2 linked regions of the Tamandua tetradactyla genome follow. The protein of the gene in region 2 interacts with the protein of the main gene of each other region in a pairwise test. Links are inferred from orthologs where the notes say so. Each region holds a gene or a part of one and is shown on either strand. Other genes may lie near its edges. The genes, in order: WFS1 and SMURF1.

Evidence for each region.
Region 1: the proteins of SMURF1 (region 2) and WFS1 interact in binary tests that used the Homo sapiens proteins (3 or more experiments, as listed by UniProt). The link is inferred for Tamandua tetradactyla from reciprocal best matches to the Homo sapiens genes SMURF1 and WFS1.

Annotation. Positions count from the first base shown.
Region 1 is NC_135345.1:6,648,938-6,662,713, forward strand, and holds the start of WFS1 (wolframin), read right to left. Parts: upstream 6,771-13,776; 5' UTR 6,613-6,770; exon of another isoform or gene 6,604-6,612; intron 1-6,603. UniProt on the Homo sapiens protein: Participates in the regulation of cellular Ca(2+) homeostasis, at least partly, by modulating the filling state of the endoplasmic reticulum Ca(2+) store.
Region 2 is NC_135349.1:7,191,011-7,207,085, forward strand, and holds the start of SMURF1 (E3 ubiquitin-protein ligase SMURF1), read right to left. Parts: upstream 6,450-16,075; 5' UTR 6,396-6,449; coding exon 6,341-6,395; intron 1-6,340. UniProt on the Homo sapiens protein: E3 ubiquitin-protein ligase that acts as a negative regulator of BMP signaling pathway. Mediates ubiquitination and degradation of SMAD1 and SMAD5, 2 receptor-regulated SMADs specific for the BMP pathway.

The sequences.
Region 1 (13,776 bases), on a different chromosome or scaffold from region 2:
TCCAGGAACAGTGCCCCTGAGCTGCATGGTCCTGGGTAGGTCACGGCCCTCCATCTCTGCACCTCAGTGTCCTCATCTGCTGGGGCAACTACGAGACCCAAATGAGGCCAGAGACCCAAGAGCTGCTTGAGGGGCAGGGTCCTAGCCGTTTCTCATCACCTAGCTCCTTGCAGTGAACCTGACCCAGAGGAGTGCTGGAGCTATCTGCAGAGACAGTCAACGCCGGAAGCCAGGGGCAGCCAGGCTGCCAGACGCCTGTCCCCAGGGGCCGTACCACCATCTCTGCCCCCTCCCCATGCGAACGAGTCCTGAAGATTAAATCTGTGCCGGCCAAAGAACACTGAAGATTTCAATCTGGACATTCCTCTCTCGGAGAGAACTGAGCCCTTCTTTCAAAACATCCTCTGGGCTGCAAACAAAACGCCGGATCAGGTGGAATCTACTTGGGAAACTGACTCCATGCTCAGTGTATTTCAGAAGTCCAGGCTTCTGGGAATCAAAGCTAGAGGCAACTCTTGCAGGCTACATCACGGAAGCCACATGCAGACCCGAGAAAGCAGAGCCAGCTGTGGGCGGGGAGCAAGCCAGAGCAACACGACAACCCAGAAACTACAAAGCGGGGAACGACTCGCAGAAACATCGGCTCTCCAAACCACACATGGCACTTCCCACCACGCAGTCCCACGTGGCTCCAATGGCCCCTGAAGCCCAAGTGCCACCTGCTTAGAACACAAAGGACAACTCGACCTCCTGAGAGCCTTCCCAAGCCAGGGCCAACCCTGGCTTCAATAATGGCAACAACAAACGCTGCATGTGGACAGTGCCATGTGGATTTTCTCTGGGATCCCTCATCTCAGCCTTACGTGTGACGGAGGTACAACTATTATCCTGGCTTTAAGATGGAGAAATGGTTTCTCCTTCTACCTTCACCCCATCTCAGGTGAGAAAACTCAGGTCAGGAGAGGTAGGAAAGGTGAGGTGTGTGCCCGAGGCCATATGGTAGGTTGGATTCTGTGTCCTAACAAATGTACATCCATTGTTTATCTTACTCCACGTCCCTGTGGGTGTGAGTCACTCTAAACAAGACCTCTTGAAGAGGTCATTTTTGGTTAATGTGTGGCCAAATGAATGGGGGTGGATCTTAATCCTATTACTGGAGGCCTCACAGACAGAACCCGGGAGCAACAGGCTGGAGAAAGGAGAGGACCTCACCAGGTAACAGGAGGCGGAGATACAGATGAGCAGGCCGGTGAACACTAATCTTTGGGGAGAAAGCAAGCTTTGTTGAGATCTTGATTTTGAACTTTTCCTAGCCTCGAAACCATGAGCCAACACATTCCTGTCATTCAGCCCACTACCGCGTGGCATATGTGACAGCAGTTCTGACACTGGGATTCGAATCCACATCTTCCTCACTGCAAACCCTCTGATTTTTCCACTGCTGCAAGCTCACTTTTGAAATAGTGACCTGTGCTGGTTTGAAAGGATGTATATCCCCTAGAAAAGCCATGTTTTAATGAAAATCCCATTTCGTAAAGGCAGAATAATCCCTATTCAATACTGTACATAATTAGATCATCTCCCTGGAGATATAACCCAATCAAGAGTGGTTGTTAAACTGGATTAGGTGATGACATGTCTCCACCCATGTGGGTGGGTCTTGATTAGTTTCTGGAGTCCTATAAAAGAGGGAACATTTTGGAGAATGAAAGCGATTCAGAGAGAGCAGAGCAGAATGACATAGCCACGAGAAGCAGAGTACACCAGCCAGCAACCTTTGGAGGTGAGGAAGGAAAACGTCTCCTGGAGAGCTTCTTGAAACAGGAAGCCAGGAGAACAAGCTATCAGATGATGCCGTACTTGCCATGTGCCTTTCCAGATGAGAGAGAAACCATGACTGTGTTCACCATGTGCCTTCTCACTTGAGAGAGAAACCCTGAACTTCATCGGCCTTCCTGAAGCAAGGGATCTTTCCCTGGATGCCTTATTTGGACATATCTATAGACTTTTTTAATTGGAACATTTTCTCGGCCCTAGAACTGTAAATTAGAAACTTATTAAATTCTCCTTTTTAAAAGCCATTTCTGGTATATTGCATTCTGGCAGCTAACAAACTAGAACACGGCCTTTCAAACTCTGGGCCCTGTCCGCCTCTGCAATCAGACCTCCCACTACATCCCCTTCCTGGTCCCTCACTCCAAAAACTCTGCTGCACTTCAGCATCAACCTGCAATCACTTGCCCTAGATGGTCTACAGGGCAGAGGATCAAGCTCCAACTTCCACGAGTTTCCTGGTGGCCTCTGCTCTGAACCCATGTCTTCCTCACCTGCTCTCAGTAAGAGTCTGAGTTCTGAGTATCCTCATCAAAGCCCTCTCTCTGTCAGGCTCTTAGAAACTCACTGATCTTGTACCCTCAGGAGGAGCCCTGGATTGGAGGAACAGCACAGACCCAGGACACAGGGCACTTTACAAGCAGACAAAACACCGGGAGTGGAACCCAGGTGCACCTTTCTTAACCTCACTGTGTCTCAGTTTCCCCACCAGTAAAGTGAGGATATTACCCCCCATACAGGGGTGCTAAGGGGACTCAGGGTTGATGGAAGAGAAAGCAACCTGTGAACTAGAAAGCATTTTTAAAACCCAATCAAGAGTGGTTGTTAAACTGGATTAGGTGACCACATGTTACTCCCAGGTACTACGTAAAGACAGGTTCGACTGGAAAACACCTGACAAAAGAAATTTCAGGAAAGTACTGGTTCTGGCTGGGCTGTGAGGCTAGATATTATGCATGTCACGTTACAGTCAAAATAAAACTGTTTAAAGTAAAATCTCCGCTGAGTCAGAATGGGTGAGTGAAGGAGGATTACTTGTAGGTTCCTTGAGGGGTGGCTAGTCCTCCCCTTGTTACCGCAAAACAAAACGATTCATTCCCCAGGACTGACTGGGTCACAGGGCCTCATGGCCGGGGTCCTTCTGACTTTGACATAAACCCTTCCTTTTCTACCGAACCTTTTCCCCAGAACTCTGTGACCCCTGAAGCCCACCCACTGCTGGATCCCTGCTGACGTGCTCGGGGTCAGGGCTGCCAGGCTTCCCAGCAGGAGTGCTGGCTGGGAGCCAGCGGATTCGACTTAGGGAGACCATTAGCTAGTCCCTCCCCTAGGCCCCAGAACCAGGGTTCACTGTCCACACGGACCCCTCTGACCTCCCCATGGGTGGAGGGCTCAGACCCAGCTCCCACCTGATGGCTGATGCAGAGGCTAGGAACGGTCGTTGTGCAAAATCCAAAAAAAAAAAAACCAGAATGGCTCGCATTCTTTACCCGTGAGCTTGAGCTCCGAGTATTTTTATCCCATCGAAACACAAAATGCCAGCACCATGGAGCTCAGCTGAGGGGCCACCATCCTAGAGGGCCTGCTCGGCCCACGCATCTACTGAGACCTGAAAGAGGAACCACGTATGGCACTGTGCCCAAGATGCTCTTAGCCGTGCTGGGCTGGCCGCAATCCCACACTCCCAGGAGGCAGCCCTGACCCCTGAGCCCACTCCTGAGATGTGTGTCTTGGAAAGCCTTAAAGGTGCTCACTCCAGGGACAATCAGAGCCCACAGGACTCACACATGAGGGGTCCCTCCCACCCCCACTCTTCAGGACCATCCAGAGAGCAAGTGGTTGTACAAATTACGGCCCCTCCATATGCTGCAACACAATATATTTTCAGCTAGTAAATGTGACTTTGTATACAAAGATTTAAAGACCAGGAAAATGGCTGTATCATACTGTTAAGCAACATTTAAAATAGCACAAGATATTAGCCCAAGTCTGTTTAGGATGAAAAGCAATACATCCACAGAAAAAGATGGAAGAAAATTCCCCCAAAACTTTAACAATGGTTTTCACTGGGGTTGGGGAGGATGATGGGTGATTTTATTTTATTCTCTTTTTTAAATGCATTCCCTTCATTTTCTATAATGAAGATGCAATGTTTTTTCAATTAAAAAATAAATATTATTTAAAAATCCATCTGCAACTAACTCCTAAAGGAGTGGGCGTCCGGGAGCAGGACGCTGGGGTGAAGGAGTGGGAGGGGTCTCTGAGGCTGGGATGTCTGCTCCTGCCAGGTCTCTTGGCCTGAGGCCCTGACAGAGGCCTACTCCTTAAGACAAGGGCACAAAGCCCTTGGTGGCTCCCGGCTACCTATTTTTGCTCTAGAGGATTAAGGGCCAAACTCCTTCCAACGCGGCAAGTTCACATAAACCTCCAGCTGGGGATGTTCGGGACACAGTCCCAGATGGCTACAGAAAGCTAGGTGCTACCCCACCAGCCCGGCCCCCATTGCATACCTGGCACCTGCTCTGCACCTGTCCGGGCTGCTCAGCGTGCCTGGATTAAGGAGCTATTTTATGCCAGACACTGTCCTGACCACCCACACCCTGAGAGGAAAAAACAGGGCTGGCCTTCCAGGTTGGACAGGAGGGCAGCTCCTAAAGAGGTGACCAGCTTCATGCAGTAAGAGCAAAGATGGGGCAGCACTTGGGGCTGTGGAGCACAGAAGAGGTCCCTCACTCTTCTGTGCTCCACTTTTCCCCAGGGAAAAGTGGGGGTTCTGCAAGAGAGGCCCTGTCTGGCCTCTGCATTCCTTCAGCACAGGCAGCGTGGGGGGAGGGGAAGGAGTACTGGTGACCTGGGCTTCTTGGCAGGGGGCTGTGCCCAGGAGAAAGGAGCAAAGAAAGCGAGCCACAGCGTGTCTAGAAAGTTAAATGTGGCTGCGAAGTGAGCGCCTGTGGGAGACACAAGCAAGAAGAGGCTGAGTAAGCTGCAGGGCAGGTCAGGGAAGGCACTGAATGCCAGGCTTAGAAGATGGACCTGACCCCACAGGCCAGAAAAAGCCAGAAAGCTACTGAGCACAGATGTGGCACGGTTAAAGAACCATCCACAGAGGGTTGTGTGGATACAGGAACAATCAGGGAGGAGACCAGGTAGCCACTGAGACTTGGACTGAGGAGGCCTGGACCAGGTCAGAATTCAGAGAGGCTCAGGAGCCAGGCCAGATAGGCACCGTCTCCAGCTAAATTTGACGGATGATGGGGGGCAGTCAGGGGGTACCACTTGCTGAGGTAGGGACGTGGCGGGGGATACTCTGTGCAGCATAAAGCTCCATAATTATGATTTTCCTGAGCACCACCATCATGGATGAGTGTTTGGTATGTGCCCTGCAGATTTCCAGGGATAGAGATGGAGTCATGCTCTCCTCTGTGACAAGCACCAGCCCAGACGGCCTGTCCAGTGCTGGCCTGTGACAGACAGGGGAGGCCTGACTGGGGGAAAAAGTGAGATTTCATTTCCTAGCCAACCTTTCCTGCACCTAGTAAAGGCCCATCCACTGCGGGTGCAGGAGAGGGTGAGGGGGCCTCCCTGAGGGAAAAATGCTAGAAATGCCTCTCTAAATCCCTGGTCCCAAGCGAAGGGGCTGCAGTTAGCCTCAGAGCCCCCTGGAGAGGGAACAACAGGTGGGTGGCAGGCAAGGTGGCCCCTGGGCTTCCCATCAGCAGGCTCCCGGGCTGCGGCAGCACAGGCTGGGTGAGCGATGCACCCAAGCAGCAGGAAAGCCCGCGACAAGCAGTAAAGCCCTGGGCCAAATGCCAGGGGTCACTGTCCAAGGAGAGGAGACACGGTGCTGTGCTTCTTAGCTCCGTTGTGGGTGTGGGGCGGAGGTTTCACTCCAGGCTGCGTTGTCCCAGGCAGGCCACCAACCCCCTTAAGCCTCGGCTCTCTCTTGCATGACATGGGGACCACAATCCCAAGACTACTGTGTGCGTATGGGGTGGGGGGTGAGGGTGCTGCACAAATGTTAATGCCTTGGAATCTCATAACATCAACTACAAAAAATGGGGCTGGAGGAAAGGCTCCATCACATCCAAAAGGGCTGTGTTGGATTCCCCAGAAAACTTCCAACTGCCCAAACAAAAATCAATGTCCCGCAGGGCCAGGGCCAAGGGAGCTGCCACTGCCCGCTCCCTTGGTGAGAAGGAGCCTGTGGAACCTGAGAAGGGGAGTGGCTGCCCCTCAACTCCTAAGCGGACTTGGGGGCTGGGGGTGGTTCAGCCAGGCCAGGAAGCTGGCCCCCCGCGGTGGCCCCCACTGTGGGGCCCCGAACCCCGTCAGTCCGCAGCCTCTGGTGGGGGCTGGCGGAGGGGGTCCCGGCGCCTTCCAGCCTGCGGGGAAAGGGCCGTGATGGGGCAGGTCGGTCCCTTCAGCTTTTCTGCCCGCCCTGGGGGTTCACCGCCGGGCCCCGCGGGCTGGAAGTGCTCGGAACGCGGGCACCGGCGGGGACCGAGGGGCGCGGGGCCCGGGACAGGGTCCGGGGCGGGGCGCGCACCCCCTGCACCCAATCTCCGCCCACGGAGGGGTCGCCTTGAGCTCGCAGGCGCGGGCGGGGTCCCCAGCCTGCCAACTTCTGAGAACTTGCAGGGGCCAAGAGGATCAGCACCCCCACCCTTCCACGCAGAAGGGGAAACTGAGGCCCGAGGCGGGGTCGCCTCCCAGCGTTCCCGGGTCTCGTTACAGCCCCCGGCAGACTGCCTCCCGCCCCGCCATACTCACCCGACTCACCCGGCCCGCGAGTGAGCCCGCGTGACGCCTCGACGCCCTCGGGCCTCTGGGTCCGCGGCAAGTTCTCGGGAGGCGCGAGAAGGGCCGGAGCCGGGAGCGAAGCACCGGGAACAGACAGTGGCGCTCGCTGCTGAGGGAGCCGACCAGCGCAGCCCAAGGCGCCGGGGAGAGGGGCGGGGAAAGGGGCGGGGCATCCGGACGCCCTCCAATCACGGCACGGCCCGAGGACGCGAAGCCAGCTCGACTCGCCGAGCAGCCGGAGCACCTGCCAATCAGGGTGCGCCTCGCCAGACTGCCTCCGGCCCTCCCCTGGTGCCGCCTGTTCGGAGGACGCCGGGTGGGCGGGGTCTGACACGCCCACCGCCAAGGTTTCCTAGCGGACTTGAGGCCCGGCCCCGCCCCCGGTCCCGCCCCGCCCACACGCTCTCCATCGCTGGGCGGAGCCCCTCGCCTCAGTAAAGCAGGGCCGGACTCCAAAATGGGTTCGCCTTTTGTCTACATCTCAGGCCCAAAGAGCCCCAACTTCAGATTCATTATAGTTGCTCATATAATCTTAACGAGTGCATTTTTAGAAGCTTTAATTCCGGCCTTTCCAGTGGTAAGAGGGGGCTCACCAAATAAAACAAAGCAGAGAGAGAAAAACTGAGTCTGTGTAAATGTTTGCATGTAACCAAGCCCTGCTCTAAATGCACACCATCAAGTGCGACGTAGCATGCTTTCACGGGGTAAGTGTGAGGGCTCCCCTTATAAAATAACGTGTGCGCGTGGAGTGACGCTAGGTTGGGGAGCTTTGGAGACCCTCTTTTTTCTGTGCTCTCGGTGAGTGAGAGGTGGGGTTCAGAGGTGAGGGAAAGGTCTACTTTGAGAATGAGAGGCCCTGTCCCGCCACCTCGGGCTCCTGGGGCTCTGTCCCCTGCCAGGATTTGTATTCACAAATGGTGGTTCCATTCACCACCAGCTACCCCCTGGGGCAGGAGGCTTTAAACTCATTTTTACTGATGGAAAAATTGAGGCTCAAAGATGGATAGTTATTTGCCCAAAGCAATGCATTAAAAATTGTCCTTACCCCCCTTATAATGCACTAATTCCAGAAAATTTGGAGAATACAGAAAACTAAAAAGAAGAAGAAAATCACTTGAAGACAATCACTGTTTACTTGTTGGAATATGTGCATATTTTGCATATTTTTTTAAAAAGGATATTCAAGCATCATTATGATTACACCATATATATAGTTTTCTATCAAAGTCTGTTTGGTTCGGGCCTATCACAAGAAAATACGGATTCTCAGATGTTCTTAGTGCCTTTGAAAAGGCATATCCCATCGCTAGGCTGCTCCCTGCTCCCCATCCCAGATTTTGGAGCCTCTCCCTCAAAACTCCCACACCTCCGGCTGCACATCTCCTGTCCTAGGGATACTTGTTCTCCCATCTCTTTCTCCCACTAGAGGACAGGGACTCTGAGCCCATCGTGTACTGCATGCCTGGCACATAGTAGGCCCTCAATAAATATTTCCTGAGAGAATTAATCACTTTCAACAATCTGCCTTTTCTAGAATTTGGGCTGCTTCCCATTTCATGATCATATTTGTTTTTAGAAATAACACTGTGATACATATCCTCGTTCCAGCGAAGTTGCTAAAAGCAAATAAAGACAGGGAAACCAGCGTGGCGTCTAGATTTATGACTCCTTTCTCCCTGTGTAACCCTGGGCCATTTATTCCACCTCTTGCTACTCCAAACAGGCTCTGGGGACCAGCAGATTCGGCATCATTTCGGCTTGTTAGAGATGCAGAATCCCAGGCCGCCCCAGGCCCACCAGATCAGATCTTTTAACCTGCACATTGACATTCGGGAAGGTCTTTACGCCTCAGTTTCTTCCTCTGTAAATGAAGAAAACCATAGCAAATAGGACCTTTTGAGGATTCTTTTTTAATTGAGGGGTGGCCAAATGAACCAGGGTGGGTCTTAATCCTATTACTGGGGGTCTAATAAAGAGAAATCCAGTGGGAGGAGCCAAAAGTCAGCAGGAACCTGGGAGAGAAAGGAGAGGACATGACCAAGTGACGGGAAAGCCAAGGAACCCAAGAAATGCCAGCAGCCAGAACGCTGCCATCCCTGAGAGGAAGCCGGCCTTCTAGCCTCTGAAACACATTCCCATTATTTAAGCCAACTTGTGTGATTTGTCACAGCAGCCTGGAAACTAAGACATCATGGTAGCTAACAAGGTTGGACTTCTCATGCTTGTTAACTTTGAGAAGCATCTGCCCTACCATTTATCTACTGGTATCTTAGAGGCTCTTTATAAACCAGTTAAATGAGCCGCTTCTATTTTTGACCCTCCCATCTTTACAATTCTCTCCTCCTCTCCTTTTACTGGGGAGCCCTGGAGGCTAGGTGGCTTCCCAAAGACCCAGATGGTTCCTGCAGTCCACCTTTGGGGAACCAATATAATGATTCAGCAGTCATACTCACTTATTAAATCCTATCTTCTCTGTTATAACTTCACCTTCTCCTTTGCTCTTTCTCCCAATCTTTAGGGGTATTTGAGTTCTGCCCTTTCTAACTTTTTCGTGTTGGAAAGGGCTGCCAATAATATGGGATAGGGGGATGGAAATAACTGATGTTCTAGAGAGGCTGGGTCCTCTGGATTTCAGGACTTATCTGGCCTAGGAACACATCTGGAAGTCGTAGGTTTCTGGAAAGTAGCCATAGTGCAGGAAACCTTTTTAGAATCTCAGATAAAGCCCTCGATGTTCTTTAGGGTTGCCAGGAATGGTTTTGGTTGGGGTTTGGCAAGCCATTATAATGGCAATATCTAGCTGAAGCATGCATAAGAGTAGCCTCCAGAGTGGCCTTTCCACTCTATTTGAACTCTTGTGCTGGTTTGAAAGGATGTATGTCACCTAGAAAAGCCATGTTTTAATCTAAATCCCATTTCATAAAGGCAGAATAATCCCTATTCAATACTGTATGTTTGAATCTGTAATTAGATCATCTCCCTGGAGATGTAACCCAATCAAGAGTGGTTGTTAAGCTGGATTGGGGGAAATGTGTCTCCACCCATTTGGGTGGGTCTTGATTAGTTTCTGGAGTCCTATAAAAGAGGGACATATTGGAGAAAGCCAGAGATTCGGAGAAAGCAGAGAATGCTGTAGCACCACGAAGCAGAGTCCACCAGCCAGTGACATTTGGAGTTGAAGAAGGAAAATGCCTCCTGGGGAGCTTCATGAAACAGGAAGCCAGGAGAGAAAGCTAGCAGATGATGCCATGTTCACCATATGCCCTTCCAGCCAAGAGAGAAACTCTGACCATGTTGGCCATGTACCTTCTCATTTGAGAGAGAAACCCTGAACTTCATCAGGCCTTTTTCTTCTTGAACCAAGTTATCATTCCCTGGATGCCTTAGATTGGACATTTCTATAGACTTGCTTTAATTGGGACATTTTCTCAGCCTTAGAACTATAAACTACCAACTTCTTAAATTCCCCTTTTTAAAATCCATTCTGTTTCTGGTATATTGCATTCCAGCAGCTAGCAAACTAGAACAACTCTCTTAGCCACTGATACCTTGTTATAATTCTTTCCCCCCTTTTGGTCAGGAAGGCATTGTGAATCCAACGGTACAAGAGTCAGGCTCATCCCTGGGAGTCATGTCCCACATTTCCAGGGAGACTTTCACCCCTGAATGTCATATCCCATGTAGGGGGAAGGGTAATGATTTCACTTGCAGACTTGGGCTTAGAGAGAGAGCGGCCACATCTGAGCAACAACAAAGGTCCTCTGGAAGTAACTCAGGCGTAACGAAAGGAAGGCTTAGTTTCTCTGCTACATAAATAAACTTCACAGGGGCAAGCCTCGAGATCAAGAGCTTGGCCTAATGCCTTGGAGTCCCTAATGTTTGAGAGAGTATCAGGGGTGCCGACTCATGCGTTCTGACCACAGGAACAGAAGTGGCCTCGCTGCCCACCACCGCCTGACTGGCCACTGCCTCGTGGGCACTGAACATACTTCACGAACCCTTGGAGAAAACACAACAAGTAGAGGGAAGAACACTGAACAGTTTCTCCTATAGAAGAGTGAGGGAGGAGAAGAAATTGAACTTCAGCAAAATATGTGAGACTGCTGAAGGTGCCTCAGTCAGAACACAGAAACCCTTTACATGCTCCAGGGAGCTGAAACACTAAAAATGTAATAGGTCAGCTCAGAAAGACCAACCATCCAGGAGAGAGCAATATGCTTCTCCCATCATCAGTCCATGTGTCCCACCTGCAGTCCCCTAATTTCTTCCCACAATCCTTAAATCCTGTGCTCCACGTTCTTGCTGCTTCCTTTCTACCCACATTTAAAGCTGACTTCCCTTTGCTCACCAAACATCTAGTGGCTTCCCACCGGTTCCAGGCACTGGCTCTGCAAAGTGTGCAAAGAAAAAGGAAGAAGGAGGCCTGGGGAGTCATCTTCTAAAAGAGAGCAGAACTGGGGGGCTTTTTCAGACTATTGGTATAGTCGGCTAAATGATTGACCCCCCCCCCCCAAGATACCAGGTATTCCTGGAACCTGTAAATGTGACCTTATCTGAGAATATCTTTGCAGTGATCCAGTGAACAATCAAAAGATTGGGAGATTCTACTGGTTATCTGTGTGGCCCCAAATGCCATCAGACGTGTCCTTTTTTTAAGGTGGAGGTAGAGGGGGACTGGGCACACCCAGCGAAGGCGATAGGTGAAGGTGGAGCTAAGAGATTGGAGCATGCTGGCCTGGGAGAGTGGAGGAGAATGGTTGCCCACCAGGGAATGCCAGTGGCCCCCAGAAGCTGGAAGAGGCCTGTGATAGTTAGATTCAGTTGTCAACTTGGCCAGGTGAGTGTACCTAATTTTGTCGCTGCCAATGGTACATGAACCTCAGCTGTTGCTGATTTACATCTGCAGTCGGCTAGGAGGCATGCCTGCTGCAATGAAGGACGTTTGACTTAATTGGCTGGTGCTTAAATGAGAGACCGCAACGTAGCACAGCCTAAGCAGCTCGTCATTCCTCATCTCAGCACTCACAGCTCAGCCCAGGCCTTTGGAGATGCAGAAAGAAGTCACCCCGGGGAAAGTTGTTGGAACCCAGGGGCCTGGAGAGAAGACCAGCACAGACCATCCTGTGCCTTCCACGTAAGAAAGAACTTCAGTGGAAAGTTAGCTGCCTTTCCTCTGAAGAACTAACAAAATAAATCCCCTTTTATTAAAAGCCAATCCGTCTCTGGTGTGTTGCATTCCAGCAGCTAGCAAACTAGAGCAAGGCCACGACATGTGACCCAGTAGCAAGCACTGCCTTCAAGCTTTCCACCTCCAGAATTGTTTTCATTTAAATTGGAGGACTGAGCACAGAGAGAGAGAGAGAGAGAGAGAACGAGATAAGGCGCCTGAGCTCTTGCCGTGGCTGGATCATCAGGTCAATCTGGCTTAGCTGAGGTTTTTAGACCTAGAAAAACTCACTGGATATCTCTGAGCCTCACCTTGTTCCTCACCTATGAAGTGAGGGCAGTTGCCAGAATTCCACAGGGTTTGAGGAAGATCCGTGAGTTCCCTTCTGCGCAAGGTAGGACCTAGCACAGCGCCTGGCGAGCAGTGGGACTTAGTGGGTGCTGGTTTCCTTCATTATCACACCCCAAAGCAGCGCAGCTCCCTCTACACCTCGTGGCTCTGTAAACCCACCCCGCAGCCCTGGGCAGGCAATACGGCAGGTGCGCATTTGAGATGTGGAGTGACACGCCCACAGTCACTCAGTGACACCTTTTGGGTCTGATTGTCCCTAAAGCCCTGCTGTGCCACCTCCACCCACATGCCCCAGGTTTCAAACAAACACCCCCAGGCTTCCTCCCGGGCCTCCCACCCGCGCCTCCCGGCAGGGAACTTGCAGCCCGTGATCAGTCCTGAGCCGCTCCTGTCATCTTCACAAAACCCAGAGCTGGTGGGAGAGGAAACTTCTCGTTCACTTTAGCAGGAGACAATAGAGCGAAATGTTTTGCATCACAGCACTTGGGAGAATGTCAAGAGGAGCTGAAAATTGCTCAATTCAAAATCTTCCCCAGAACTTTCTGGACACCTGCTTGGCTTAGTAGCAGTGATTGGAACTGTCTACACGCAGGCCCACAAGGAGACTGGCAGGAAATGTTGGGGGGAAGAAAGCATTTTTGATATTTGTAGGAGCAACTTAGACAGTTCAGCAAAAGAGAAATTGTTTTTGACAATCTTTAGAAATACCTGTTACCCAGAAGGCTTACTGGGATTGCAGATCATTGTTTCCCTTAAATTTTTGAAATAATGGAAAGCATCAGACTATGGTCACTACCTGCTCATGAAATGCCAAAGAGTATCTCTTCAGAGTAAGGAGAAGGCCTGGCTACGAGTAATTAGCATGGTGCACACGCGGGAGCCGATGCTGTTGTTGGATATGAAACGGCGTGAATTCGTTGAATGTACAGTTTTTCCCAGAGGCTATATTATACTGGGGGCTCTTCCCAGTTTTACTTGAACTTTGTCCTGCCCTGGTGCAGAGAACACAGCCTGCCGTCTCCAGAGCGTATCTGTTCTCGTTCTTGGGGGAAGAGGAGCTGGGTATGGCCTGATGGCAACACGCAGATTCTGCTGGAGAGAGGCTGGGGTCCCAGCGAAGCAGAGCATCGGGGGCAGACACCCACAGTTATTTACACAGTGAGGTTCAGGGTGGTTGGGACCTAGCAGAGGTGCTGTGAAGGACTGTGGGACTCTGGAGGAGGTTTGGGAGATTTGGGGGAAGGGGGAGCATTTGAGCCAGGTCTTAATTTTACTCTGGGAAGAGGAAAAAAAGGGCTTTCCTGGTAGAAGCCATGATGCATGCAAAGGCTTGGAGGGGTGAAAGAGAAGGGTGGATCCAGACAAAAGTTTGGGATAAGGAGAGCAGACATGGATTGGGGATGGAGAGATAAGTGAAGGGCCTGGAGAGCCGTGCTGAAGAGTTTGGAACTCATCCATTAGGCAAAGAAGTAGCACCCCAACCCACCTGACCCTTGGGAGAAGTAAGGCATATTTCATGAGAGTCAGTAACTATTGCCATGTAACAAACTACACCAAAACTTAGCAGGTTACCAAGAGAGTGAAAAGACAGCCTATAGAATAGGAGAAAATAGTTTCAAACCAAT
Region 2 (16,075 bases):
GATACATTTTTGGGCCATTTGGCCATCTGATTTCCTGCTACGTGCCTAGTAATAAACTTTTTCTCTCTGAAATCCCGGTGTCTCAGGAATTAGTCATTTGAGTGCGTTGGGCAAAAGAATCCGCTGCTTTGGTCTGGTAACAACTGATTCAATTTATATTCCCAACTAACAGCGTAAGAGTTCCTGTTTTTCCATACCTTTGTCATCACCGTATATTTTCAAACTTTTTGGCCTCTGCCACTCTACTAGAAAAACAGTGTTTTGCTCTGTCAAAAGGTTATTTGCCTTTTTCTAATTGATTTTGAAAGTCCTTTATATATTAAGGAAACCAGACTTTCATTGTCTATATGTTGAACATTATTTTTCCTACTTGGTCTTTGCATACTGATTTTATAATTTTACAAAGAAATCTATCCAGCAATTTTTGCTAAAGTTTTTCATCATTTATAATTGATATTTCAGCTGACTCTTTTAGATTTTTCAACATATACAATCATATATCTGCAAATAATAGTAAATTTGTTTTCTCCTTTCCGATGTCTTTCTTTAGTTAATAGCAATTGTGATAATGTACATCCCTGTACTATTTCTTTATTTTAATGGGATTGCTTCCAAGAATTCACCATGTAGGATGATGATGGCTTTGGCTTGTAGCATTATTTCTCTGAACACATAGAGAATTTAACAATTCTTTCTTAATTATTGTGCCTCCATGTTCAACAATAGATTTGATAGATTTCCTTCAATGTTAAAGTGTATCATTCGCTTTATCATGTACTCACATGGGTTATTTAAGAATAAGAAACAATAGGAATCAATGACTCTGTACATACACGACTGAACTTACAAATAACTACCCTTTAAAATATTTAATCTATCTTTATCAAATGCTTGTAAGAGATAAAATGACAGGTATCCCCATTACAGAGAGGAAAACTGAGGCATGAAAAGATTATAATTCTTTGCAGCCCCCTTCTGCATTACGGCATTTCTTTGAGTTAGAAATAAAATCAGGACCTTCTGACTCCCGATCCAATGTTTAAGGCACAAGAAAGCAGTGTGGCCTTCAGGGAACTCAGTGGATGCCCAACATACAAAGAAAAAGGCAGGCTGCCAGCTACGACCCACAGCTTCATAACACTCTTTTCCAGACTCCTGAAAGCAACCTACAAGTTGGACTCCTGAGCTTAAAACATCTGAAATGCATCACCCGGCAGCCAGCATAATAGGTTCAAGCTTCAGAGACACACGATGTTACCGACATTCCTCAACCAATTAGAATGCCTTTCAGCTGCAATGGAGGTGAACACAGCTGGAATTCCAGAGCGGGGCGCATCACCAGACACACTGACTGTACATTATTTAATCCTTGTTTTAAAACAATAAATGGATTTTTTTTCCTTTAATCCAGAAATGTGGCAACAACATTCCAAATATATAAGTGGATTAAATTGTGTCTGTAGACACAACAGTAATTCTAACGTTTTAAAAAGAAGATCCGCCGGATCCACAGGGCTATGTGCTTTTGCTTTTTAAGCACTGCTCTACAGCTCTCTTTCGAATAGAATGGCCTTAAGGATTTTACTCAGCTAGGAGGAAGAGTGCCCTGAACAAGAAGCCAATTTAAGGGGGGGGGGGGGCCTTCTCTCCATAAAATTCACTTACAAAACAGCACACAAACCAGCAATTTAAATTGTTGGGTGGAAAAAAAAACATATTTTACTTCCCTATTCATTTAAAAATAGGCAGCTTCTGAAATGATTTTGAAATTACAAAAATTTGATCAAAATAAGAATCCTAAAAGTTAGGCTTTCTTAACCAGAAAAATCAGAGCACTGTGAAGATAACAAATTATTTCACTCAATTGAGAAGATTTTTCTAACTTCCCTTTCTCTCTTACCACTTAATAAAATGCACAATTCAGCTATCTTTACTTATACTGAGTGCCCAAAACATGTTACAAAACAGCCAGTCTAGTTATCTGGACCATTGAGCTGATGTTGAAATATTATGGGTCAGTCTTTCTTCTTTTTTTAATCATGGGGAAGTATTTCTTCACAAGTGACACAAACCCTAGAACCTCCCCTCTTTAGCCCAATATTCCACACTAGAACATGACAACGTAGCTGAAGAGAGAAAATGAAAGGTGTGGAAGACAAGGAAACCCCAAGGTTCAGGAACTGTTGTGCTTGTGAAAATGTTTAATAAATCACAATTATTGTAAAAATGAGGATATAAAGTAAAAGAGATGCTTCACTTCTAAAATCAGCTAGATGGGTCAGTGAGATTCACCACAAAATAAGGTGTGTGGTGGCGTTGTTTTTAAGACAACACAAATGCGATCACATCACAAAAGCAGTGATAGATCCAGTATTTGGCCGAATGCGATTCTTTTTAAAGTATGACTGCAGTTTTAGTTTTGCAACAGCATTTGCTATGACCCATCTGACAGTAATAATTCAGCTCAAAGAAGTACCTTCTGTTAAGCCTTCAGGAACCCTAAGGAAAATGTTATGCCAGTACTCATAGCTAAAACCTGATCACTTATTCCATTTTATCGCCGCAACTGTGTAACAGTTGCTAAAGCAAAAGTTTTGCCTACCTCACATAAGTGAGGTTCTCTGTGTGTTCAAATTGACAAAATTATCATTCTTGACCGTTAATAAATCTCTAAGAGAAACAACTATTTCTAATCAATTAGGTCACCTGTTATTGCTCAATTAAAGTTATTAACAGCTATTACTACAACTATTGCTCTCTAAGCTGCATCATCTGGATACCAAAATGCAAGGCAGCCTTTCATCACATATGCTGCAACTTTAAAAATAGCCTGTCATTTCCATAGGCTGTCAAGGGAAGTATTTCCCCCTCTTTGCTTGGAATTGGAATTTTCTCACCTCACAATACAGAGTCACGTTCCAGAAGATATAAAAACATAAGAAAGTCTGGGAGAATTTCAAGGCACAAAAGCACAAAAAAGTTTAGGTATTTCAAGTAACTGGTTTAATTTTCTTGAAAAGCACTGTGAAGCTCAGAGAGCTGAAAATTCCATTATTTTACCAAAAGTGGCCAAAATAATGTATCTGGGATTCATTTGTGTACCACATAAGAACAAAGTTTTTGCAAACCCTACTTGAATTTTAAATGAAAATGTTTCCAAAGGGTTTGATGTGCCAATGAGTTAAAAACTGATGCTGTGATAATGCTCTTTAACAGAAATAGCTTCATTTTGCACATATACACTGAAACTAATTTAAAACTTTCCTCCTAAAACACTACAAAGACATTCACTGAAATTATATTCATTTAAATACAAAAAATTCAGCATTTTTCTACTGTTTAGGCCAGGTTGATAAAAGTGTTCAACATTATATTACCCAACAATTTTCAAAACCAAAAAGGGTCCATAAGAAAAAAAAGAGAAATCATGAAAGTATTCAATATACTAAATCAATGTTTGGCATAAATCAAACACGAGGGCTACATTTTAATACAAATTTCTGAATATGAGGATTGAGACTTAGCAACAGAAAGCACAAGTCCCCAACAATAATTTGGAATGAATAGGTGAAATCTGACAAATCCCATGAAAAGTAGAAGCAAAGACTATTATAATAGGATTGAAATCTCATTTCGTATGTTAGGAAAGGATAAAAAATTAGTTTCATATCATTTTCTTACTGGTAGATCTGACCAGAATCCATGACTCCTAACTCTAAACTTTTGCCCTATAACCAAACACAATTGTGTACCCAAAAAGTTCTAAATGGTGTTTCACAACTCCAGTGTCTGCATATGTTGCAATTAATTACGCTCTGTGTGTAATTAATTAATCATCGATTAGTTAGATAGCCCTCATTTTAAAAAATTCTTATTTTCAAATATCACACATGGAAATAAACTCTGAAACCAGTAACAGAAGCATTCAACGTTTGAAAATTATCTGCACAATGTGCCAAAAATGAAATGATTGCAAACTTCCCATAACAACCTTAAAAATGAAGTCAAAACCTATTCTATCTTCAAACAAACTATTTAATGTCACTGTTTCCGCATAAATTAATGTGCAACAGACAAGTGCCACCAGGTGCTTCCACCATCACTGCTTCACTCTCAACCTGCTGCAGGAGCAGTCACTCTCACAGACCAATTTAAAAGGAATATTTATTTCAGAAAGAACACGCATCACCTGATCCTTTAATAGCAAATGCCATACCAAACCTCTGTAGGCATTTCTGGATCTATGACATCCAAATTCCTGAGTCCAAAAATAATTTGGGAGAAGTACAAAACAAATCTTCTCCTTCAAGAAGAAAAGAACCAGGCCTAGGTCTGCCAACTAGACTTGATTAATATATATATATATATATATATATATATATATACACACCTGATGCATATATCTGTACCTGAAATCTTACTCTCTCTAAAATTTTAATCACATTTCTACTGAACTTCACAAAATCAGGTACTTCGGCTTTTAATAACAAGAAAAAGAAAACAAATGGATCTGCTCTCAGTTACAAATTACATTGTAAATGAGAACCAAATTAAGGTTGTCAGTAATTAAAGTTTTACAAGTATCACAACGTCAGAAACATGACTTTTATGTTGCCATAAAAATAACTTACTGTTTTTATCTATGCGTTGAGAAGTGTTTCCTAGCCACACCCTGGTATAAAGGATTATGCCTCTCCAGAAATCCCTAGTTTACACCTGTTACCTTACAAATCCAGGGTCTGGTTTGGGTCCAAATAATTCCTCAACTAACATCCTTGTTTAAAAAAAAAAAAAAAGCAACCCTTTTCTTGAAACAAAAAATGTATCAAGCAACTTTGTTTTTCTAAATTTTAGTTTTCATGAAACCACCGGGTTGTTTTCATGGATTGATTTTTCAGATGACCTCAAGGCTGTGCTGCCCTGAAAGGACGCGACCAGACTCTGATTTCGGAGTCCCCACTGGGCCCCGCCACTAAAGAGAAGAGAAATCGAGGGAAAAATCCCTGCGAGGGAGTGGACTGAACTTTTTATTTCCTTTCCAGAGCTGGAAGTATTGTGGTTTGGAAAGTCCCCGGCACAGCCATATGGGAGCACCACACCCCGCCTCAGGTGTGCGCACCTGGGGCTGCGCTGGGACACGCGGCTGCAGCCCGGACCCGCCCCCACCCCCGCCCCGGGGCACCGATTCCCGCGGTTTGCGTCCACACGCATCCCGGCCCCCGCGGGCCGGCCGCGGAGACCTGCACCTATACCCGCTGAAGACGAAATGAGAGTGCATCAAGAAGTGGGGGGAGGGACGCCTAGCAGGGGCTCACGGGCGTGGAGTGGGGTGACCACGGTGAAAGGCGGATCAGAAAGAAGCCGACTGGGGCACACAGGGACCTGCCTGAGACCGAGGGAGGAAGCGGACCAGACTGCAGAGCTTTGGCTGAGGAGGAGAGGTGGGGGGGACAGGAGTGGGAGAGGCCAGACGCTGGAACCAAGGAATTCGAGGCTGATGAGTTGATGCATCCGGATAGAAGCCAGGCGGCCGGGCGGAGAGGCCGGCCAGGCGGGACTCGGGAGGTGAGGGGCGGGGTCCTGAGAAGCGAAGGGCGGAGCCATGAGAAGTGAGGGGCGGAGCCAGAGAAAAGAGGGAGGAGAAAGAGGGGGCAGATGCAACAAGGCAGGTAGAGAGAAAAAGGAAAGCAAAGAGGAGAACGGGGGTTGGGAGTGAAAGGCGAGGGGACGGGACCAGGAGAGGAGAGTGGAGGAGGCAGGTGGGGGAAGAAAGAGGGAGAAAAGGAGGGGTACTTGGAAGGGAAGAGGTGGGGCCAGGAGGAAGAGGTGAGGGGTGGAGCCAGGATGGGAGAAGCGAGGGGGCGGGACCAGGAGGGGAGAAGCAAGAGAAAAGCGGTGGGAAAGAGAAGGGGAAGGGGTTAGACAGGGGCGGTGAGGAATAGGGGGCGGGCCAAGAGGAAGAGGTGAGGGGTGGAGCCAGGAGGGGAGAAGCGAGAGGGGGGACCAGGAGGGGAGAAGCAAGAGAAAGGTGTTGGGAAAGAGAAAGGGAAGGGGCGGGGCCATGAGGGAGAAGTGAGGGGGCGGGGTCGGGAGGGAGAAGCAAGGGGCGGGGCCAGCAGGGGAGAAGCAAGGGGGCGGGGTCAGCAGGGGAGAAGCGAGGGGGCGGGGCCGAGCAGGAGCGAGGGGCACTCGCTGAGGGGGTGACGAGGTCCCGGGACCACGGCCGGCGTGGGGGAGGGACACCCCCCAGGGCGACAAGAGGGGGCTTCCGGGGCTGGCGAGGGGCTGTGCGGGGCAACCGGGAGCTGGCGGGGCTCTCCGGGCCTCCCGCCGGCCGTACCTGTCAGACGGATCTTGATGCTGGAGCCGTTCCTGCGCGTCCCGGGGTTCGACATCTCCCGCCAGCGATCGGGCAGCCGCGGATCCAGCGCCTCCGCCCCCCGGCCCGGCCCGGCCCGGCCCCGCCGCCGCCGCCTCAAGGTTACGGCTCCGGGCTGGGCGCCGGGGTCCGAGCCGGGACACAAACTCCGCGGCCCAGGCGTCCGGGCGGCGGGTGGATGGTTGAGCCGGGACTTGGCACTCGGCCCCGCGCCCAGACCTTCGCGCCCTCCCCGCCGTGCCCAGCCCAGAGCCGCCGCTGCTGCCGCCGCCTCCACCACCTCAGAGCCGGACGCCCGCCGCCCTCGCCGCTTCCGCCGCCGCCTTCCCGAGCCGCGCGCGCACACGGCGCCTGCCTCGCCGGCCCGGCCCTGCGCGCCCCCGTCTGCGTGCGCGCGCCCAGGCTGCGTCGGGGCGGGACAACACGCGCACGTACGTCACCCGCCCGGCTGCGGGCGCGCGGCTGCTCCGCAGCTTGCGGACCCGGACCTTCCTGCTCTTGCCGGGCCCAGACGGGCTTCTCCAGGAAGCTGGGAAGAGGCTTGGCGGCCCCAGGAGCCGAGCGCCCCGGAGCCCACTCGCGGAGAAGCGCGGGTGCCCGGGGTGAGGGGTGAGGGGTCGTCCCGACACGGGTGGGCGATGCTGCCCGCCTCAGCCTTTGGTCCTCTCTGCGGGACCCGACGTGCAGATGGGAACGTGGAGGCTCCGAGGATGGAATTCTTTTCCTGGGCTCTGGCTCAAGGCCCCGGGCTCCTGCTAAGCTCCTGCAGGGAGGCCTCCATGAAACCCTGGCCTGTTCTTAGACTAAGCCCCTTGCGCAAGCGACACGGGCCTTCAAGAAGATTTTGAGTAGAGTTTTCAGATAATGCAGCCGATTCAAGGGGGCGGCTTCTCAATGAGACAAAGTCCCTTGGGTGGGTTTTGTGCAACTAATGCACTCTGTTGACCCGAAACAGAGTTGCCAGAATCGCGCAGAAAGTACCGTGTATGGACACGATAAACAAGATTTGTGAGAGGGATAAAGTTGAGGGGTAGAGAAGATGCTGGTCATGATCCAGTCTGCACACGGTTTGACCAGACAAGCAGCAGTACCGCCTACGTTTCCCTGCCTTCTGCTAACACTTCCCCTCCTCTCAGGGTTACAGGTTAGAACTAGAAGCTCTGTATACATTCCCTTGCAAACGTGGTGTAGAGAAGAAGAAATATATTAACAGAAAGGAAGGCTGGGTTGTTGATCAAACTCGTCTTTGACCCACTTTATGTAATCCTTTTAATGTACAAATTCTTTTAATTCGCTTATTTGGTTTGTGTCTTAAAGAAACCAGGCTCTGGGCAGTTGTGGCCATCCCTTGCAACCTTGGGCCTTTTCCGAGGTCACAGTCTTGGGACTAGGCCCCTGTCCCTAGAGCCCCTTGGCAGTGCCTGCCAGCTGCAATCTGAGCCAAATGAAAGCAGAGTCCTGCTTTGACTGTCTGAGCTTCAATCCCTCAGAAAAGTGTGCCTGGATCATTTGTACGGCCTTTTGCTGCTCAGACTTTAAATGGTTCTGTGTTTAAGCTACAGGACAGTAGACCCAGAATCCAGCTCTGTTTCTCTCTGCAGGCAATTGTCCCTTGATCTGAATAAACCCATTTACAGTTGGTTGTCTAATGTCCCCAAATAATCCCCATTCTTCTTTCATCCCAGTCAGTATTTCCTCCTCTTTATTACCATATTCAAGAAGTCTATTCTTTCTCAAACAAACCCGACTCTCTCTCTCTACTTACCTGTTCTGTTCCCCCACCATTCCTGGCCTGGAAACCATTTATTTCTTAACCACATTGTTTTCTTATCTGCCTAGATGTCTGGACTTTCCTTTGCTTGATTATTTCATCAACACCCCCCCCCCCCCCCGCCTCCAGCCCCCACCCACCCCTGGCCAGGAGGTCCTTTCTGGAAGTTTGCTGACAGGTATTTTGTTTACTTGGTAACAAGTAATTACGGTTATTTAACTGGAAACACCTAATGGTGTGCTGCCCCACAAACTATACAAGGAGAACCTTCCTAATCAGAAGCTAACACTTAATTCATTCACCAAATCTTGGCCACCTATTCAGGGACACAAGTCACAGCCTCAGCATCTCAGAAGCTCAGCTAACTGAGAGACAGACGTAAACAATTGACACTGATGCAGGGATAGAGATATGCACAGAGGGCCAGGGGAGAGGTTACAGGGCAAATCTGCCTTTGGGGAGGGGATGGGGAGATCTCAGAAAGGCAATATAAGGACCTTGGAGGCAGTATTTGCCAGCAAAGGGCTGGAGAAGGGCTTTGTAGGCAGCAGGAGCCTCTCATGCAAAGGCATGAAAGTAAATGTGTTTTCCTGCAGTTTCCAACACCAGACCAATCGCACAGCTGCAGTATCTTCCATCCATACACCTTATCCCACTCTAAGTTGATAAAAGATATTTGCCCACTTAAAAATCATCAGCCACTTAACAAAAAAGTCATCAGCTGCGATTTTATCCTAGGCCTCATACTGAACTTAAGATCTACCCTGAAATTTATTCATCCGGTATCAAATTTTGTCAAAAATACTATCTTCTAAAACCATCTGGAACACATGGACACTGCGGTGGTTTGGAGTTGTTCTTAATCTGAATTCATTCCTGTGGGTATGAACCCATGGTAAATAGGACCTTTTGATAAGGTTGTTTAATTAAAGTGTGGCCAACTGAATTAGGATGGGTCTTAATCCTGTAGAGAAGGCCACAGAGAGAAAGTACTGGGAGAAGCAAGAAGTAGGAAGTTCAAGGGACCCGGAGGAGAAAGGGGACAACATCGCTGTGTGCACTGCCGTGTGACATAAAAAACAAGGACCAAAGATCACCAGCAGCCAGCCCCAGCCACAATATTCAGGGAAAAAACATTGTCTGGCTGACACCTAGGTTTTGAATTTCTTCTAGCCTAAAAATTGTGAGCCACTAAATTCCTGTTGTCTAAGAAGCTAGGAAACTAAAACAGGAACTATCAAATATTTCTGCTGAAACAAAGCTGGGACTCAATGAGTTTTTTCACATGTCCTCTGCAATGTCTAGAAGGCGCAGTTTTGACCCTGCTTTCTATGGGCTTGGCAGCTGATTTTATTGCCCCCAAATGTTTCATTTTCCTGCGTCAGTGTTATAGGGCATCTGAAAACATTTTCCAGTGGAAATAAAAATCTTTCTTTGGATCTGGCTGTAGTAGTTCTTAACCTGTTTCTGAGTCAAACCTCTTTAAGTATCTGATGAAAACTCTGGACCCTTTCCCCAGAAAAAATTCATGCATGGCAGATGCCAAAGTTTGCATCCAATTTCAGTGGGTTCATGATCTCCTGAAAGCAATTTGTGGATGTTGTAAGGGCTCTAGATTAAGAACCGCTCTTCTAAAGGAAATAATCATTCAATAATCTTTACGACTATCTCATATGTATGTGTTCAGGAGGTAACACCGAGCAGGGAAGGCTTTGGAAAAGAAAACACATACAGGCCCACCCGCTACCCTGCCTCCACCACAAGTTCAGCTGGGGACAGAGCAAGTTAATTACATTCTCCAAGCCTCACTTTGTCCATCTGTCAAATGGGGATAATAGTGTCTCTCACCCAAAGTCAGCACGAGGGTTAAGTTAAACCCTGGATGTGGACTTAGCAGTCTAATAGAGCAGATGCTTGGTGAGTGGTAGGACATATAAAATGTGTGTGCTCATCTTTGTTCCAGTGCCTACTATGGGAGATGCAGCCGCAATTACTATTGGGGAAGTTTGGGAAATTGTGCAGAGTATTCCTGGCAGGAGTGGACAGCTATACCACATGCCTCTCGAGAGCACGATTCTGTACATGAGCCAGTGCCTCTGACACCAGTGGCTGGATGAGATCAGCCCTTACAGTCGTCTCTAGAGCTAGGAGCTAAACTCCTTTTGCTTTTCATCTGAACATCAAGTTTTTAAAATAATTGGATGTGCAAAATTGTGATACTTAGCACATTTATTTACTTATTCTTTTAGGCCCAGATGGTTTTAGGGTCTTTCTCTAAGTGACAGATCTAATATTTCCAATCTGCAAGGCTGACTATATTATCATCATTGGTAAGGGTTATAACTTAGTATTTTTTTCTCATTGAAATTTTAATTGAGATCATCATGGATGGATGATTGTATAGATGGAAATAAGACAAAGGGATCCCTCTGCCTGGCGTCCCCAGAAGACATTTTGCAAAACCATAGTATAAGATCACAATCAGGTGTGGGCCCAATGACTTAGCAGGCAGAGTGCTCGCTGCCATGCCAGAGACCCAGGTTTGATTCCCAGTGCCTGCCCCCCCCCAAAAAAAGATCGCAATCAGGATATTGGCATTGAAACAATATGACGAGGTTACACAGATTTCCCCAGTTTTACCTATACTGATTAGTGTGGCTATGGATGTTAAATGGTATATAGTTTTAACACCTGTGTGTTCCATAGATCCATCACTAGAATCAAGACACCCAACAGTTCCCACACCACAAAGACCCCTTGTGGCCATTTTATACCATCGTCCCCCAACCCCTGGCAACTACTAATCTGTTCTCCATTTCTAAAATTTTGTCATTTCAAAAATGCTATATAAATGGAACCACACAGTATGTGATCTTTGGGGATTGTCCTTTTTCACTCAACATAATTCCCAGGAGATTCTTCCAAACTATTCCTTTTCATTGCTGAATAGTATTCCACGAGCAGTCGTGTGCGCCACAGTCTAAGTCTTCACTAGTTGAATCCCATCTGGGCTGGCTCCAGTTTTTGGTTATTACAGATAAACTACTCTGAACTTTTGTGTACAGGTCTTGTATGTGTGTGTGTGTGTGTGTGTGTGTGTGTGTGTGTGTACATATGTTTTAATTTCTCTGGGATAAGTGCTCAAGAGTGCGACTGCTCGGTCATGCATGTTTAACTTTATAAAAAATTGCCAAGTATTTTCTGGAGTGGCTGTACCATTTTATATTCCCACCAGCAATATATGAGTGAGCCAGTGTCTCTACATCCTTGTCAGCATTTGGTATTGCCACTATTTTTAATTTTCGCCATTCTGATAAGTATTTTCTTATGACTGAAAATATTTGAGATAGATGATTCCTTCAAACATATGCAGCCAGATAATTGGGGACAAATTTCAAAATTTTTCTTTAGGGCGGGCCATGGTGACTCAGCAGGCAAGAATGCTTGCCTGCCATGCAGAGGAACCGGGTTCGGTTCCCAGTGCCTGCCCATGTTAAAAAAAAAAAAAAAAAATTCTTTAAAAGCATAGTTCTCGCCTGCCATACCAGAGACCCAGGTTCAATTCCCAGTACCTGTGCATGCAAAAAAAAAAAAAAAAGGACACTAGTTGAATCCCTCACTCTACATTCAGAAACAGCTATGATCAAATGAGAAAATTATTGAATTGCTGTTATTCATAAAAAATATAATTTTGTTTATAAAATAGTTCCCACTTGGGTGAGCAGTTTTTTAAACAATTAAAATTATTATCCTAATAAAAGTAATTAAAATGCCTGATAATATAGTAAGCTCAATTTTTAAAACTCAGAAATAAGCAAAGGAGATGTCCAGGCTTCAGGTCTCCTGCTTGTTGAAGAATTTCTGATCTTTATTGGTTCAGGAAAATAGGGCAGAAAGTTCTCCCAATTCATTATTTCTCACTTATGCTATATAACCAACAATAGTCAGGGATGAGCCAAAGGATATCCCCATAAGGCCTTGAATCACTATTTATTGGCTAAATATTTTACTAGTTTTTGGACAGAGTTGGAGGAAACTCTACAAAATAGGTAATGGTTCTCAAAGTGGGGTCACAGGAACGGCAGCATCTGCTCCATCTACTGCAGCCTGGGAACTGTTAGAAATGCAAATTCTCAGGCCCCACCCCAGACTTATTGCATCAGAAACTTAGGGGCTGGGCCCAAAAACCTGTGTTTTAACGAGCCCTCCACGTGGTTCTGATGCAGACTTACCTTTGAGAACCACTGTTACAAGCATACAATTAACTTTCTATTGTTTTCACTTTTAGTTAAAGGAAGGGAGCAGAGATGTACAAAATCCAAAACAAGGGTATTTGTGTTAGAATGTTAAAAAACAAATGTGGGTAACTTAAGCAAAGAATACAATATATTAGAAGAATTTCAGGGGATTCATCAAATCCTTGGATGGCTCTGAGTGCAAGTTAGAAAAGGGGCAAAGATCAACACATTTCACCAGCCAAGGAGCAAACTCTTTCAACAGAAAGAAACAGTATGGCCAGGATGACACCCCTGCTCTCCCATGAATTAATGCCATCTGTCCCTTCACCCTGGGGTCACTCTTTCCAGATTGCCCAAGCCCAGGAAGGAGTTTCCCAGCCTATTGAGTCCAGACTAGGCCTGAGGTCAGCAAGAAGGAAAGCAAAGGCCCCCTTTTACTTTTGTAATAGGGACTGCCTCCTGCCCAAAGCACACACAATAGTGCTTTCTCCCAATAGGAAAGGGGACCCGATACTGAAGAGTCCACAAAATCTGTCTCGGAAATGTATGGGGGAAGGAGAGTAGCAGATGTACATCTCCTATCATTTGATTAAACTGATACGAGAGTTTAAATCAGATCTCCTTTTTTTGATTCCCCAACCACATACTGACTCTCATCAAAGGATGGAGGCAGCCTAACAGGAGAGGCTGAAGTAGGTCTGTAATTCCAAACAAATTGGAAAATTCATGAATCACACAGTCTTGCACCAATTATCAGAAAAGACCTGTAATAAGTACGCATCTGTAGCAAATATTAGCCGACGTTTCTGTTGGCAGGAAGGTGACCTAATTCTCCAGTCCTACGGATATGCTGAACCAGTAACCAAATCACTGCATCCTTCACGGTATATAAATCAAACTCATCTTTCTGCTGGGACCCAGCGAGGCTGCAATCTTACCCTGATTGTGCAAAAATAGAAACAAGCGCAGATAAATGTGACAAAGATTTCCCTAGTTCCAAGAAGAGGGTGGGAGCTGTACCTCATTATTTAAAGGCCTTAATATAAACAAATTAAGTTAATTGGGGGTTTAATAGCAGCATCTGGTTTGGGTGAGGGATGATATATAATTATTAGCTACTATTCCTGCTTAGTGAACGTGATAGGAGATTTTCAAGGATAGATATTTCAAATCCAGTCTCACTCACTTTTTTCAATGCCTGGTAGAACCCTGTAGGGAGCTTAAAGCAAATACTTTCGTCTGCGTCTAACCTTCTATCTGCCTAGGACCTCCCTGGATGAATGACACTTAGCCATTCATAGCTTTAAGACTTGTGTCCTTTCTTCCCAAGAATGGTGTCTTTGAAAAGCACACTTTTGTCATTTGTACACACCTATGGGTAATATTTGCTCACTTTTCCTCTCTTGGTCATTTGCAGATTTTTTTTTTAATTCTGCCTCTTATGGGGTCATTTTTTTTCTTTTTTAGTGCAATTTTATTGAGATATATTATATATCCACGTACCATAGAATCATCCAAATTGTACAACCGGTGTTTCACAGTGTCATCATATAGCTGGGCATTCGTCACCACAAAAGATTTTTGAACATTTTTCTTACTCCAAAAATAAATATCAAAAGTAAAAATAAGAGTGAAAAAGAACACCTAAAACCTCCAATCCCTTTCCCGCCCTATTATTTATTTATTTTTGACTTTTTTTTCCTTATCTGTCCATATCCTGGATAAAGGGAGTGTCAGACACAAGTTTCACAGTCACACGGTCCCACCTTCAGAGCTCTATAGCTATTCAATCATCTTCAAGAATCAAGGCTATTGAAAAAACGTTTATTTGGTACAAAATTTATATTTTGACTAGTGCATTTCCTAATATAACTTATGTAGATAGCTTGATTGAACACCATAATTACTTGGAATCTTGGGTAGGACATGAGATTTTGTTGGTTTGTCCAGAGTGATGCCCCGATGAATCCCAGAGTGATTCAATCAGTGCGTAGAAAAGTATTTGCAAAGTCCCCTTCGGGGAATGGTGAGAACAGGAAGAAATTCAACTTCCCCAAGTTGAATTCTTGATATTCTCACAAGCAGTATGGACAAGCAAAGCTATAAGCTGAGCCCCCAGTCTTGGGTTTTGTTCATATGGAACTTAACCCCACAAAGGATAGGGCAAGCCTACTTAAAATTTAGGCCTAAGAGTCACCCCTAAGAGAGCCTCTTTTGTTGCTCAGATGTGGACTCTCTCTCCAGCCAACACAACAAGCAAACTCACCACCCTCCCCCTGTCTGCGTGGGACATGACTCCCAGGTCTCCCAGGTGTGGACCTTTCTGGCAACGTGGGACAGAAATCCTAGAATGAGTTGAGACTCAGCATCAAGGGATTGAGAAAACCTTCAAGAGTGAAATGAGACAAAGTGTCAATGGCTGAAAGATTCCAAACAGAGCCGAGAGGTTATCCTGGAGGTTATTCTTATGCATTAAGTAGATATCACCTTGTTAACCAAGCTGTAATGGAGAGGCTGGAGGGAACTGCCTGAAAATGTAGGGTTGTGTTCCAGTAGCCATGTTTCTTGAAGATGATTGAATAATGATAAAGCTTTCACAATGTGACTGTGTGATTGTGAAAACCTTGTGTCTGATGCTCCTTTTATCTACCTTGTCAACAGACAAGTAGAACATATGGAATAAAAATAAATAATAGGGGGAACAAATGTTAAAATATAGTTTGAAATGCTAGTGAACAATGAAAGCGAGGGGTAAGGGGTATGGTATGTATAATCTTTTTTTTTTCTGTTTTCGTTTTATTTCTTTTTCTGATGTCTTTTTGCTTTTTTCTGAATTGATGCAAATGTTCTGAATTGATGCAAATGTTCTAAGCAATGATGAATATGCAACTATGTGATGATATTGTGAATTACTGATTATATACGCAGAACGAAATGATCATATGTTAATGTTTTTGTTTGTTGTTAAATTTTTTAAATTAATAAATAAATAAATTTTTAAAAAAAGAATCAAGGCTATTGGATTACCGTTCAAGAGTTCCAGGTATTTCCCTCTAGCTACCCCAATGCTCCCCAAACTAAAAGGGCTATCCGTATACTGCATGAGAATAATCTCCAGAATGACCTCTCAATTCTATTTGAAATCTCTCAGCCATTGAAACTTTATTTGTCTCAATCCCACCTTGCCAGGGCCATTTGTAGAATATTAAGCAAATGTTTTATCAAGAACCTTCTGGGTGCCAGCCAGGCAATGCGCTAACATGCAAGGGGTTTAAAAATATCATAAGGCATGGTCCCGGGCAGTCTGTGGCTCGCGTCTGGTAGTGGAGACCTTCATATAAACAAATCATTAAAAGGTAATGTGCAAATGAGGCAGGAAAGCCAAGCTGAAGCCTTCCGTTTCTCCATGGACACCCGTGTGCCGGATGTCAGCGGAGAGAGGGATGGGTCCTGCCACTTCCCCAGAACGCATAAGGGAGGTGATCTGTGTCCTTGCTGGGCATTTTGCCTTGTATCTTAAGCAGCAAGTTTCCGAAGAGGTTCTCACAACCATACTTAGCCTCACCGTCTTATGCTTGTATAGGAAGCTAAGAATTGCTAGGGAAGCTTCACAGACCTCCTCGGGCTACGGAACGGCAGGAGGCAGTTCCTAGCCCAAAGGAGTTACCGCTCTTTGGTTGCAGTGCT